2 linked regions of the Bombyx mori genome follow. The protein of the gene in region 2 binds, or shares a complex with, the protein of the main gene of each other region. Links are inferred from orthologs where the notes say so. Each region holds a gene or a part of one and is shown on either strand. Other genes may lie near its edges.

Region 1 (6,185 bases), on a different chromosome or scaffold from region 2:
CTCATCAGCTTGTTAATCTAGTTGCAACTGTACAACAACCACATGTCTGGCAGGAGAATGTGAAGATTGAAGATTTGTTATGATTTTTTTTAGTTTATAGTTTTAAAGTATAGTAACATATAAATTAATTGTGAAATTAAACAACAAAACAATATGACCAAATCATTTTTAATACCATACAAAAAAACTAGTTGTTTTGTTTCGCTTCTTTCGCGTTCTGAAGAGCCTGAGTCAAATACAATTTCGCTAGACTCTGACTACAGAACTGGCTTATATGTTGGCTGTATGTGTCTATTTGTCCGGCTACGATCATAGGATTCAACCTTGGCGGGACTGGATGAGGTTTAAAGAGTTTGTTCACGTCTTCTTCTGGCAACGGGGTCTCATCTTTAGCAGCCCTAGCAGCATTTTCCTGTGCCCTCTTCACCATCCAACGATGCTTGTCTTGTTGCTGCCTGACCACCAGCTGTTGGTACCTATTGAACTTGATCGCTTCTTGATTCAGTTCATCAACACGTTCCATGAGACTGCGAAGTTGTCCTGTAATTAAATCAATTTTATTGTTATGATGATAAATACAATATTTTTAAATAAAGTGGGCCCTTAGATGCCCTTAAATTGTAAAATCAGATCAACATTAAAATTCATTAAACAAAATCAATAGTTTTACACAAAATGAAGAGAAAAATGCTATGTAATGTTTTCTACTAAATATTATAACATGAAATAATAAAGAAAAACCTCTCTGTAGATTGTTTATGATGACCAACATATAGATATGAACATTTAAGTAAAGGAAGAAACATAATCTTCAGGCTCTTAAGAGCCACCTCATATTAACATAAGGGAATCGAAGTTTTAATGACATTGGATGGATGTTTATCTGTACCCTTTAAGAGGACACTTTCTTAGTAGAATTAATAAGCAAGATGATAGTGAAAGCTCACCTGCTTAAAATTGTCTATTGCCATTCCTCCACATAGTAAAAATTACAAGTTTAATATAGCAGTTAGGAAACAACTACTGGGAAAAGTAGTAGCTTCAGATTGCAGCAAAGGAATCAACCCATAATTGATGTAGTCAGATGTAGCCTAAATCTTGAAAGCTTTTCTGATAATTGTATACCATAGTAAAATTAAACAAACCTTCGAGAACAGATGCAGTACCCAGATCCAAAAACTTGGATCCTTCCTCTTCAGGTATCATCTCGGTGAGCTCAGAGATCATTATGTTAGTTAATGGAGAGTTCCGGATAACAATTGGCACTTCAATGAATAGATTTTCATAGCCAATCTTCAGGTTACGTAGTGCTTCCGGAGTGTAATCGCCTTCCTTGTACATAGCAATAGCCTGTAAAGTAAGTATTAACCTCAATTTTACATATATTCTTATTCATACATGAACACCCAACTATACATAATGTTTTCACAATATAAATATAAAAAAAAAACAACAATAATTTACTTGCTTGTTGATGAGCATATTGTGAGTCCAAGTTACTATTATTTCTGCACGTAATAATAATGTGTTTAAGGATTGAGAACAGTCTTACATCTTAAGACATGTGTATAAGAACATACATTACCATCCTCTTTATATTTGCTGGGAATCATACATTCATTCTGGTTTAATGGTGAGACATCAAATATATTTTTTTTTATTATTTTTATTGCCTTTGTAGGCAGACGAGCATACGGCCCACCTGATGGTGAGTGGTTACCATCGCCCATGGACTTCAGCAATGCCAAGGGCAGAGCCAAGCCGCTGCCTACCGCTTAATGCACTCATGTTGTGATATCTGCAGGTTGCATGGACCACTTAGATAGTATCCCCATAAAAAACATTTAAAATATCTCAAAAATATAGATTCTGCCATTCACTTAGCATTAACAAGTGATAACTTCACTAAATATACGTAATATAAATAAATAAAATAGCTCAACTTCAGAAATTAGTTCTGTCATAAAGCTCAATTAACAACATTAGCACTTTAAAATGTGTATAGTTATGAGAGCTTAATTACCTGAGGTGTCAAACGATAGGCCTTCAAAGTCAAGAATCCTCTGGCTGATTTCTTTGTATCGTAAATCACAACAACACTCTCCTCAATAGAGGTCTGATAGTGATATTGTGACTCTAATAACGAAAGGCTTAGAAAATTGCCTACATCTGCACTCTGGTACCTGAAGAAAGATATGAGGTATAAGAAAAAAGAAAGTTCTGCTGTTCTAATTTAAAATATTGTATGACATATTTTGACATACTATAAAACAATTTTCAATATTAATTACCATCCAACATGAAAATGATCAACATTGACTCTTCGAAGCCTCCTCATCATGTCCAACTGGTATTCCTCCTCATCCATGGTGTCGTCATGCTTTGGAAATGGGAAGCAGTTGGTAATCTCCAGACGGTTCTCAACGACCAAACCAAGGAGAGCTCCCTGAGCCACCTCCATGTTGCTGCATGATTCTTCATGACAGTGTTTCACTATTTTCATCACTGCCTAAAATAAAAAGCACAAATATATTATAAAAGTGGGAGCAGATCTGTCATTTCAAATGCTTGAGTTAGTTCGATGAGGATTTGTTTGATTACCACATATTAAACTGTTTTACCACTACTTTAAGCATGTTTCAACTAAATAACTTCAGAGAGGATATTATTCAAGGCAAGTTAAAATACACTTTAATGTGTAACAAGTTTAACAAAACAAATTAATACCTACCCATCCCTAATAAATTATTGCTATATTAACTTTCTGTGTATGTGTAGGAAATCAATCAGCTTGCTATTTGCAATCAATCAGAACAAAAACTAATCTCAATCATTTACAGTTAGGAAACTATAAAATTATCAGTAAATAGTAGTATAGTATATAACAAAAAATGACTTCACATATACTATCAAGATCTAAACTTTGTAATGAAGCATAGTTTAAAACACTAATTATATAGTTCAGAGAAAATTTAATGTTTTAGATGTACAGTTAGGTGAGATCATCCTCCTATTTCAATGACCCCCGGGCTCAGGGCAAATGTCCCAAAACAGTCAATGACTCAACAACGTTTATATGTTGTAAACAGAAATAAAAAACCTTTGTAGTCTTTTATTTTCTTTTTATATCGAAAGTTTTTTGGTTCATAGAATCCTATAGAAATTAACATAACGAATTATTCAAGGTTTGGTGAATTGTCAACGTTTGCCCGATTTATTTAAAAAGAAACGAGAGCACAAAATTGAAAACATAACCTATACAATTATCTTTATTATTGCAACGGCAACCTATTTTATTGTAATCTAAGATCTCCTAAAATCATACAACACGAATCATGTTCCAGATCATAATAATCCACCTTAATTGACGATGTTTACTTCTATATATTAATTAAATGGTAAAAATACATGACGTGTCGAGGCACGAACTTTCACAAAGTTTTTAATTTAAAACCTACAGTTGACGTCCGTCTCAGAGAACCTATCTAAACTTTAATTTTAAATTTACTTACCAGTCCATCGCACTGAACATATTGGATCGTCGCTTCATTTTCAGGAGCGCGTCTAGCTGAACCAGCACGGCTCGCCATTTTTAATTCACAAGAGAACGTTTGATTTGATTACATTTTAGTGTAGCTCTCCAAATCGACTATCAATAGCTATCGATAATTGTAATCGATACCTTATTTGCAATCGACACTATACGACAGATTAGCCTTTAAAAATACTACCACGAATATCACATCTCGATTAAACTTAAACACTGTTGGAACTATATACCAGTTTTTACAAATTTCTGGGTTTTAAAAAGAGTAGGTATACGAAGACATACACACGCTAATGAGATTAATATAGTAGTTTTTATATCCCAGTTACAATGCAATAAATAAGTGCCGTAATTTTGCGTATTGTACTATGGATCACAATGATAGTTAATCCTAATGTTTACGGTATAAATGTAAAACAATTAATGCATTATGATCTTGTAAATATTCTTTAACAAATCCATTTTTAGTAATGATAAAAATTAAGGTTTAAAAGATTTTTTATTTATATGATAAATCTCAAATGTTGTTCAATCTTTTTCTATTATCCATGTATAAATTGTATTACATTCTTACAGATTTTGAATTAAAAAAAATACTATAAAGTTAAGTGATATGGCTCGAATTACACTTATAGACGTGAGGTCTCATTATTTGCTTTAATAAGGAAGTGGTATCAATTCGCGTTATCGCTGTATTTATATTTTACCGTTCGTCAATTTGTAATTAATCGTTTATTTATTAGGTTGTACCTTATGGAACATTTTGTTAACTTACGACTTTTGCTTAAGACTCTCGCTCTACAAAGCACAGGTCCGGCCTCGTGTGGAGTACTACTCCGACCTCTGGGCCGGGCTCCCAAAAACCAGCTACTTCCATTTGACTCTATACAGAAGAGAGCCGTTCGGGGGCTCCCAAATACCAGCTTCTTCCATTTGACTCCATACAGAGGAGGGCCGTTCGGATTGTCGATAATCCCATTCTCACGGATCGTTTGGAACCTCTGTGTCTGCGGAGGGACTTGGGTTCACTCTGTTATTTTGCACCGTATGTTCCATGGGGAGTGCTCTAAGGAATTGTTAGACATGAAACCATCATCTCGTTTTTACCATCACACCGCCCGCCACCGGAATAGAGTTCATCCATAATTCCTGGAACTACTGCGGTCATCCACAGGGCGTTTCCAGAGATCTTTTTGCCACGTACCGTCCGGCTTTGGAATAAGCTCCCCTCCACGGTGTTTCCCGACAACTATAACAACGCCTTCTTCAAACGAAGCTTGTGGAGAGTATAAACTGGTTGGCAGCGGCCTGGCTCTGCCCCTGGCTCTATCCATGGACGACAGTAACCACTCACCATCACATGGGCCGTGTGCTCGTCTACCTACAAGGGCAATAAAAAAAACAAAGCTTAGAACTATGTGGTGAAAAAATTTGTTCCTGTTGTGCAGAATTGATTATTTCAAAGCTTAAAACGAATCTTTTACTAATTAATTTTCTATTGTTTTGCTTGGCTCGATGAGTAAATTTTACCCTACAGACACAGCCCACTGAGTTTCTCACCGAATCTTCTCAGTGGGTCGCATTTCCGATCCGGTGGTAGATTCTGCGAAGCACGGCTCTTGCTAGGATTCATGTTAGCAACGTCGTTAGGTTTGAGCCCCTTGAGCTCACCTACTAGTTAAGGTTACGCTGATATGGTCTCACTAGAGGCTAGACCATCAGCTTAGGTAGGAAAAAAAAAGAGATCGTTTAGAGCCTAGCTACCGGGCAATTATAGCAGCTCCGCGGAAGATCTGCCCTATAACGTTACCCACAAAGATTATACAGACAGAAAATACAATAATAACAATTACAGTTTTAATACCTATTAAATGTATTATCTGTATTCACAGCAGTACACATACCTAATTTTATTCGTGAATGCAATTTTGCTTAAAGGTATCGTTACCAGGCCATAAAATCAAAAAAAAAAGGATACAATTACATATCTCAATACATAAATATATGTATGTATGTACATAGTGTAATCAAAATCGTTTTTAATTACTTTATCCATAAATGTTGTGGAAATTTTGCTTGAAGTCATTAATATCTATGATGTTGTGGCAATTCAAAATGTTTTGGCATCATAAACTTATTTTTGATTCTAAAAATACTTTGGCTCTGTGATCTGTTTCGTTCATTAAATTGAGTTTTGTTAATTAAATTAGTGTTAAACAAACACCTACTTATCAATTTAAGAAAACTTGATTAAATAATGAGTCAGCATAAGTTTTGGAAAGGAGTGACTCCCCTAAACGTGCCGACGTCTCAACAAGTACCTGATAAAGTTGTTAAATTGTGCTCATTAGATACAAATTTTATTGTGTTAGGAAACGACCATGGCATCTATTATTGCGAAAATGCAGACGATTCTTTGAATTTTAAAAGGGTGAGCGGTATTTCAGCACTGGACATATCATATCATAATGGCATACTATATATCATAGACACGCACGGGCGCCTATTTAAAACAAATTGTAGCTTTAAAAATAAAGAAGAAATTGTAGTAAAGGAAGACTCTAAATGCTGCCCCCACGGGTTCAGGAGCTCAAGTTACAAAGTCAAATTTCGGACTGTTGTAGCTAATGATTTTGGT
Region 2 (6,241 bases):
GCAATATATGCGGGAAGAAACTGTCAAATAAAAGAGTTCTTCAAAAACATATAAAAACTCATAATGTTGATGCCAATGACATGATATTGGAAACTGTTGTTGATAATACTTTCTTCGAACAAGTATTTGATGCAAATATGTAAATTACTATCTAGAATTTAAAAAACTAAAGAAAATAAAGCATTTGTGATTTGAAATATATTTATTAATGGAAACAATATAAAATAAGTATATATAATAATAATGACTGTTTACACTTATCGCTAGGTTCTTGGATATAAATGAAATTATTGTTAATGGCAAACATTAACTCATTGATAACAATATTAGTATGTATGTACCTTACTTTATGATGCAAGAACATAATTCATGATGAGGTGTCTGGAACTTTCACCCATTTAAAATTTGGATTAGTTAATAGAACATAGGTACTTAAAGTAAGTACTCACCTTATATTGGTTGTTTTGCCCTAATATTGTTTTATTTGCACACAAGTCTTATTTATATATATTTAAGTGTACTTAAAACTTTATCTTAAAATAGTGAAACCTAGCTATTATACTGTAACTGTCTCTAATTGCATGAACAACAATTAGAAACAAATAGAAGAAATTTGTCATGATAAGTTGCTAGCCAAAAAGATAACACATTTATTTAAAGATTACAAGATAATTTTTTTTACTATATACTGTGCACAATAAAGTTATGAAGAATGAATGAAGGTTATGATGATCGAATATGATACAGAAAAGGTTTACCTAAATAATATGAATCATACACCATTTTATTAGATGTAACTAAGTGTACATGATCAGCTAACAATGGACAGTATCACACAAGAACCATTATTACATACTATGAAGCTTTATAAAAATGCCAGTCAGCTCAGCAGTGGTGACGAATGTATAGAGCATTAGTATGCAGTAAGAAGCCTTTCAGACAATTTACATTACTAGTAGGTTTATTATATATGGATTTTTCCTTTACTATGAAATCCCCTTTTTACACCATGTTGTTTATCAAATTGCTGCTGGTCATGTGATTCAAATAAAAAATAATCTTATCAAACTTTGCCATACATTAGTATTCCTTATCACACAAAATGATTACACTACTGAATTTTGCAAACCACTCACATTAAAAACATGCTAAATCTTTATAAACAGATACATTTAATAGATTAATAGACCCTTTTAGTTGTTGTTTAAAATAAATCTTTAATTTGCTATAATTATTGCTATTTCCCAAGTAGTTTATTCATTTGTTTATTTTGTTTACCAATCTTGATATCTGCAATCTCAACTTTGTCTTGAATAGTATCCACGAGGTTGTTTTGCTGTTCTATCTCTTCACCAAGTGCAACTCCTAGATGTTTGAGCCGGGATATAGCATGCACCATTTCATCCAAGTTCGAATCAAGTATATTATTTACTCTCTCGTTTTCTGTTTCAGGACTCTTAGCGCTTTCTTGAGACAAACCATGTAGGCGTGCTGAGGGATGACTCTCAAAGCGATCTTCAACGTTCCTAGACATATTATCTAGGGTTTCATCAAGCCTGCTACTACTTGTACCAGCATTACGTACATTCGAGGTCGCTGGACTTTTAGATGGTGTTTGATCACTTTTTCCGGAAATATAATTCTTCAGACCATAAAATACAGACTTTATACCATTTAAATGTTTTTGACTATAGTTTAAATTGGTGTTAATCTCATCAAGTCGCCTGTCTGTGTTCTGTAGCTGTTCACGTTGTCGGGAAAGCTCTTCGGCCGTTGCAATACCAATTTGTTCAGAATCACGAAGCAATCCGATACTTCTCGTTGATGAATCTATTGTCCGTTGTTCGATTTCTCTTTGTGTTTGGATCATAGCTTGGCGTTGACGTTCCAGTTCTGCAATATGACCTCCATAAGGCTTATTTGCTTGCTGTGTTTGAGGTATTCTTGACCGGAAGCGATCTACAAATTCGTTATCATCGACGTCGTCATTTTCGAATAGGTTGTTCGGATTTGTGAAATATTTATGCCCAGACATTGCTTAAAATGTAATTTACTACGTAGGTGTGTTCTCGTTACTTTATTGGTGATGTTCAAAAAGAATGCACTTGAAATTATGGGGGTGGTAAGCACAGATAATACACAATTATTATGGTAGGTATGTACCATAAATGTTTATTTTAGGTTTAATTTATCTGATACGACGAGCAAAGGGATGTAGCCAAATAAAACGATTTTTTTAAGTGTCTGTCTAATTGAACAAAAAAAGTCAATATGCCACGTTCCCTTTGCCTTTCCAATTGAACAATTGAAACAAAGTTTAGCTCTTTGATCAACTTTGATGCGTTTGACGTATGAAGTGAGTCGTGGGCAAGGTCTGTATTTGAGAGCTTTCTTTCTATTCGCTACAAATTTATTAAGTCTATCATCAGAGGATTGCTTGAAAACTGAATACCTACTCTGTTTTTAATATAAGACAGTAAGTATTGTAAAAATGTTAAACAGTTCTAATTTATAACCTCAACGCGAGGACAAGTCAACTATTTATTACTAATTTTGATGTTTATTTAAGATATTTAAGAAAATAAATTACCATTGGAGTCAAATAATGTTCATTTGGAATTAACGAAGTTTTCTTTTACAGAAGCATTAACTAACTCTTGTAAATATGAGTCGTTTCTTTGCAACTGGGACGGACTCGGAGTCAGAGAGCAGCAGCGAGGACGAGCCAGTAGTACGCGCCCCCGCGCCAGTTTACACGGTAAATTTAAAATAAATAATTGGGAATCAAGGAAACAAAATTTTCAATTTATAGTTTAAAAAAAGATAAATAGTTTTTTAAGTTACCAAGGGAGACTAACATTAATCTCATGTAGGATGACAAGATATATGAAACTTTTTTTCGGTAATCAGCAATGCAATTAGCAAAATTTTGTAACTCTTTTAGAAGTTTTGAAAAATGTGATCCTTTAAATTCTTTCCTAAATGTCCACTATCAGTAGCTAATAGAGGGGGTAGCGATCAATAATGTATTTCTGCTCTGCTCGCAATCTGCTATTGTGCCAGCTTACAGCTTTCTAACGACTTGTCCAAAAAATTGAATGGGCAAAGGGAACAGCCATATTTTGTAATGATTGTGAAATTATTTTAATTATAAATTTTATTTCTTGTATTCAGTCATCTTTGTAAAATATGGTATAATATTATTAAAACATTTTTAATTCATAATAAATAAGGTATGACATAGGATTCAACCCATGTTAAATTTAAAATATCTGAAAAAATCCCACAAGTTACATCTTGGCAGGACAAAGGGTTGCTCGTGCTACTCTTTCGTTCCTAAACTCTTAGTAGACTTGTTGGTCAACTGGCATACTGCTTGAAAGATAATTTGGAGTAATATAATAATATACATGGATAAATAATTTAATAGTAACAATAGTAAGCCACTAAAACTTCTATTTATTTCAATTATGAGTTTAATAAGTGCATCTAGTGATTGGCATATCAATTTGTTATTAATTTGTCTTGACTTGTATAACAAGATGCTTTGATTCCGGAATAGTACAGTGATGTGAATTAGATATGTGTTGTTCAATCAATTTTAGAGAATCAGATCAATACTGACCTGTTGACAAAATGATCCGGTTCGTTCGACCCGTTCAGTCAAACGTTTGGATTTCCGTTAATCACACCAATTTATGATGTGATTAATATTATCAGGTCACTGGCTGAATGAAGTTTAGTATTGAATAACAGTTTAAAGGAACTGTTATAGTTCGATTGTTTAGGTGAGATAAAAAAAATTCAAATACGTTATGCGTCATTATGCGACAGCGAACGTCTAACCGAGACGGGCGCGGGGCGAGACCCGGCAACCCGAAATGACCCGAATGACTGTTGCATGGTTCTTTTCTTCTGATTCGTAGGTTTTGTTAAACGGGTCAATCTAGTGAACGACTCATATTTTTTGAAATGTTCGCGCGGATTTTGAAACCCGGGTCGTTTGGTTCGTTCGTTGGCGAACGACACATATCTAATGTTAATTGTAATAAACATTAAACATATGCTTCAAATTTTAAAAAGAAAATGATCAGACTAAAAGTTATAAATTGATTGGGAGATAAGAGTTGCTGTGTTTTTTTGCTAATTTTTTTTTTGTTGTCATCTTTTAATATTGTATATTGTTAACAGATTAAAAATCTTAAAAGTGCGCCATTGTGGGAAAATTCTACAAGATTATAATTACAATTCACAATATTATTATAGTCCCAAGTCATTTCAGTAAATTGCCTCTATTTTGAGGTATGCACTCAGGATAAGTGAACAACAGGAAGGTTGCGTATACTTGTGTAAGAAGAGCCTGCGCTACCACGGCATGCATGTTTTACATGTCTTAGTTTTGGTCTTCAAATGATGATTATTCGAGTATTGAAAATTTCTTCCATTATAATATTGCGTTAATAAAATCAACTGGATAGTTATTTCTTATTAACACTAGCTTACTAACAACAGCTCTTACCGAGCATGGTTGTAACTCTAGTTAATGTTCTATTGTGATACATTAACCTCTCCCCAGTGCGGTGTCCTCTGAGCGGACTCCACAGATACGTGAAATGTCAAATCACATTTATCTATCAACAGGGACCCGTCCGCTCAAAGGACTTCAAACAGACGCGGCCAGTGGCGGCAACAGTGCCGCGTCCGCTCAGCGGACTTCCTATATTAAGGGCTATTACATTATTTTACTAGAGTTCTCGTTCTGAAGTACTTTCAAAATCGACTAAGCATGAATAGGTTCGCCTTATTACATAAAATTTGTTTGGTCTGTGGTACAAAAATTTTTCAAGATCGTTGATTTAGTTGGTGGCAATTTCAAACAAATTAATACATGTCTATTTTACATCTTTAGAATTATAAGCTTAGAATAATAATTTTTTCAAATTTTATTTAATAATTCAGTCAACTGTAGAAGAATATTGAACAAGAAAAGTACAATTAATTATAATTCTTTATATTGGCAACAGTTTAGTGACGATGAGGAAGAAACAAAGCGAGTTGTGCGCTCAATGAAAGAGAAGCGTTATGAGGAATTAGAAGGAATTATACACTCTATACGCAATCATCGGAAAATCAAGGATTTTAGTTCAGCATTAGCTTCTTTCGAAGAGCTCCAAAAGGCATACACTCGAGCCGCACCGGTTGTTCAAAAGGAGGAGAATGGAGTTGCTCCTAGATTCTTCATAAGAGCTCTTGTAGAATTGGACGATTGGGTAGTAGGAGCATGGAATGAACGTGAAGCCCGAAAAGCTCTATCAAAAGGAAACAGTAAAGCTCTTACCTCACTAAGACAGAAACTTAGGAAGTACACTAAAGATTTTGAAGCTGAAATATCCAAGTTCCGTGAAGATCCTGATCTACCCGATGACAATGAACGTAAAGGTAAGCAAATTAAAAATAAACGAAAACTTAAATTACATTCTTCAACACTACTTCATATTCAATGCAAAACAATTAATAACAAACTTTGTTCATAGATTCATCATCATCAGATGAGTCTGAAGATGAAGAAAAACCAATTAAAGAGAAGCCTAAACCCGAGCCCCTTCTTCGTCCACCACCAGAAGATGATGAATCATCAGATTCTATGGATTGGGCTTCTAGTTCTTCTGACTCCAGTTTTAGCTCTGATGATGAGGAACGTGGTACCTCCAATATTCGTGAACAATTCATCAAGAAAGTTACCAAGAAAGAGGATGATGAAGAGAAAATAAAACTTAAACTAAAGAAACGTGAGGAAAGACGTGAAAGGTCTGGTAAAATCAATAAACGCGACGTAGCTGATGATGGTGGTGAATGGGAAACAGTCAGAAAGGGTGCGGCGACTTCTGATAAGCCTAAAATGTTCGCTAAAGTATGTATATTACAATCTCCTTACTTAAATATTCAATTAGTGATACATAAATTAAGCAAATTTTTTTTGTTACCAAATTTTTAGGATAGTGATATTGATGCTGCACTTGTCGTGAAGAAACTTGGTGAAATAAGCGCAGCCAGAGGTCGAAAAAGAACTGATCGTCGTGCTCAGTTAGAACTTTTACATGAGTTGCGTACTGTTGCGCTTCAACATAATTTGGGAGATGCACTACAACTAAAACTACGCTCGGCCATCGTGGCTGCCCTCTTTGACTATAATCCTAAAGTCTCTGATGCAATGAAACCGGAATATTGGTCAAAACTGGTT

What was found.
Region 1: eIF3c (region 2) and eIF3h share a complex: the UniProt entries of both Drosophila melanogaster proteins name them as parts of the eukaryotic translation initiation factor 3 (eIF-3) complex. The link is inferred for Bombyx mori from reciprocal best matches to the Drosophila melanogaster genes eIF3c and eIF3h.

What each region holds. Positions count from the first base shown.
Region 1 is NC_085110.1:3,929,148-3,935,332, reverse strand, and holds eIF3h (eukaryotic translation initiation factor 3 subunit H), read right to left. Parts: upstream 3,607-6,185; 5' UTR 3,591-3,606; coding exon 3,513-3,590; intron 2,510-3,512; coding exon 2,292-2,509; intron 2,184-2,291; coding exon 2,024-2,183; intron 1,351-2,023; coding exon 1,146-1,350; intron 541-1,145; coding exon 188-540; 3' UTR 153-187; downstream 1-152. Other genes in the region: alsin, read left to right, coding at 5,805-6,185. UniProt on the Drosophila melanogaster protein: Component of the eukaryotic translation initiation factor 3 (eIF-3) complex, which is involved in protein synthesis of a specialized repertoire of mRNAs and, together with other initiation factors, stimulates binding of mRNA and methionyl-tRNAi to the 40S ribosome.
Region 2 is NC_085122.1:5,757,828-5,764,068, forward strand, and holds the start of eIF3c (eukaryotic translation initiation factor 3 subunit C), read left to right. Parts: upstream 1-2,237; 5' UTR 2,238-2,372; exon of another isoform or gene 2,373-2,476; intron 2,477-2,641; 5' UTR 2,642-2,665; coding exon 2,666-2,758; intron 2,759-5,024; coding exon 5,025-5,439; intron 5,440-5,534; coding exon 5,535-5,911; intron 5,912-5,995; coding exon 5,996-6,241. Other genes in the region: gastrula zinc finger protein XlCGF57.1, read left to right, coding at 1-143; soluble NSF attachment protein 29, read right to left, coding at 1,238-2,035. UniProt on the Drosophila melanogaster protein: Component of the eukaryotic translation initiation factor 3 (eIF-3) complex, which is involved in protein synthesis of a specialized repertoire of mRNAs and, together with other initiation factors, stimulates binding of mRNA and methionyl-tRNAi to the 40S ribosome.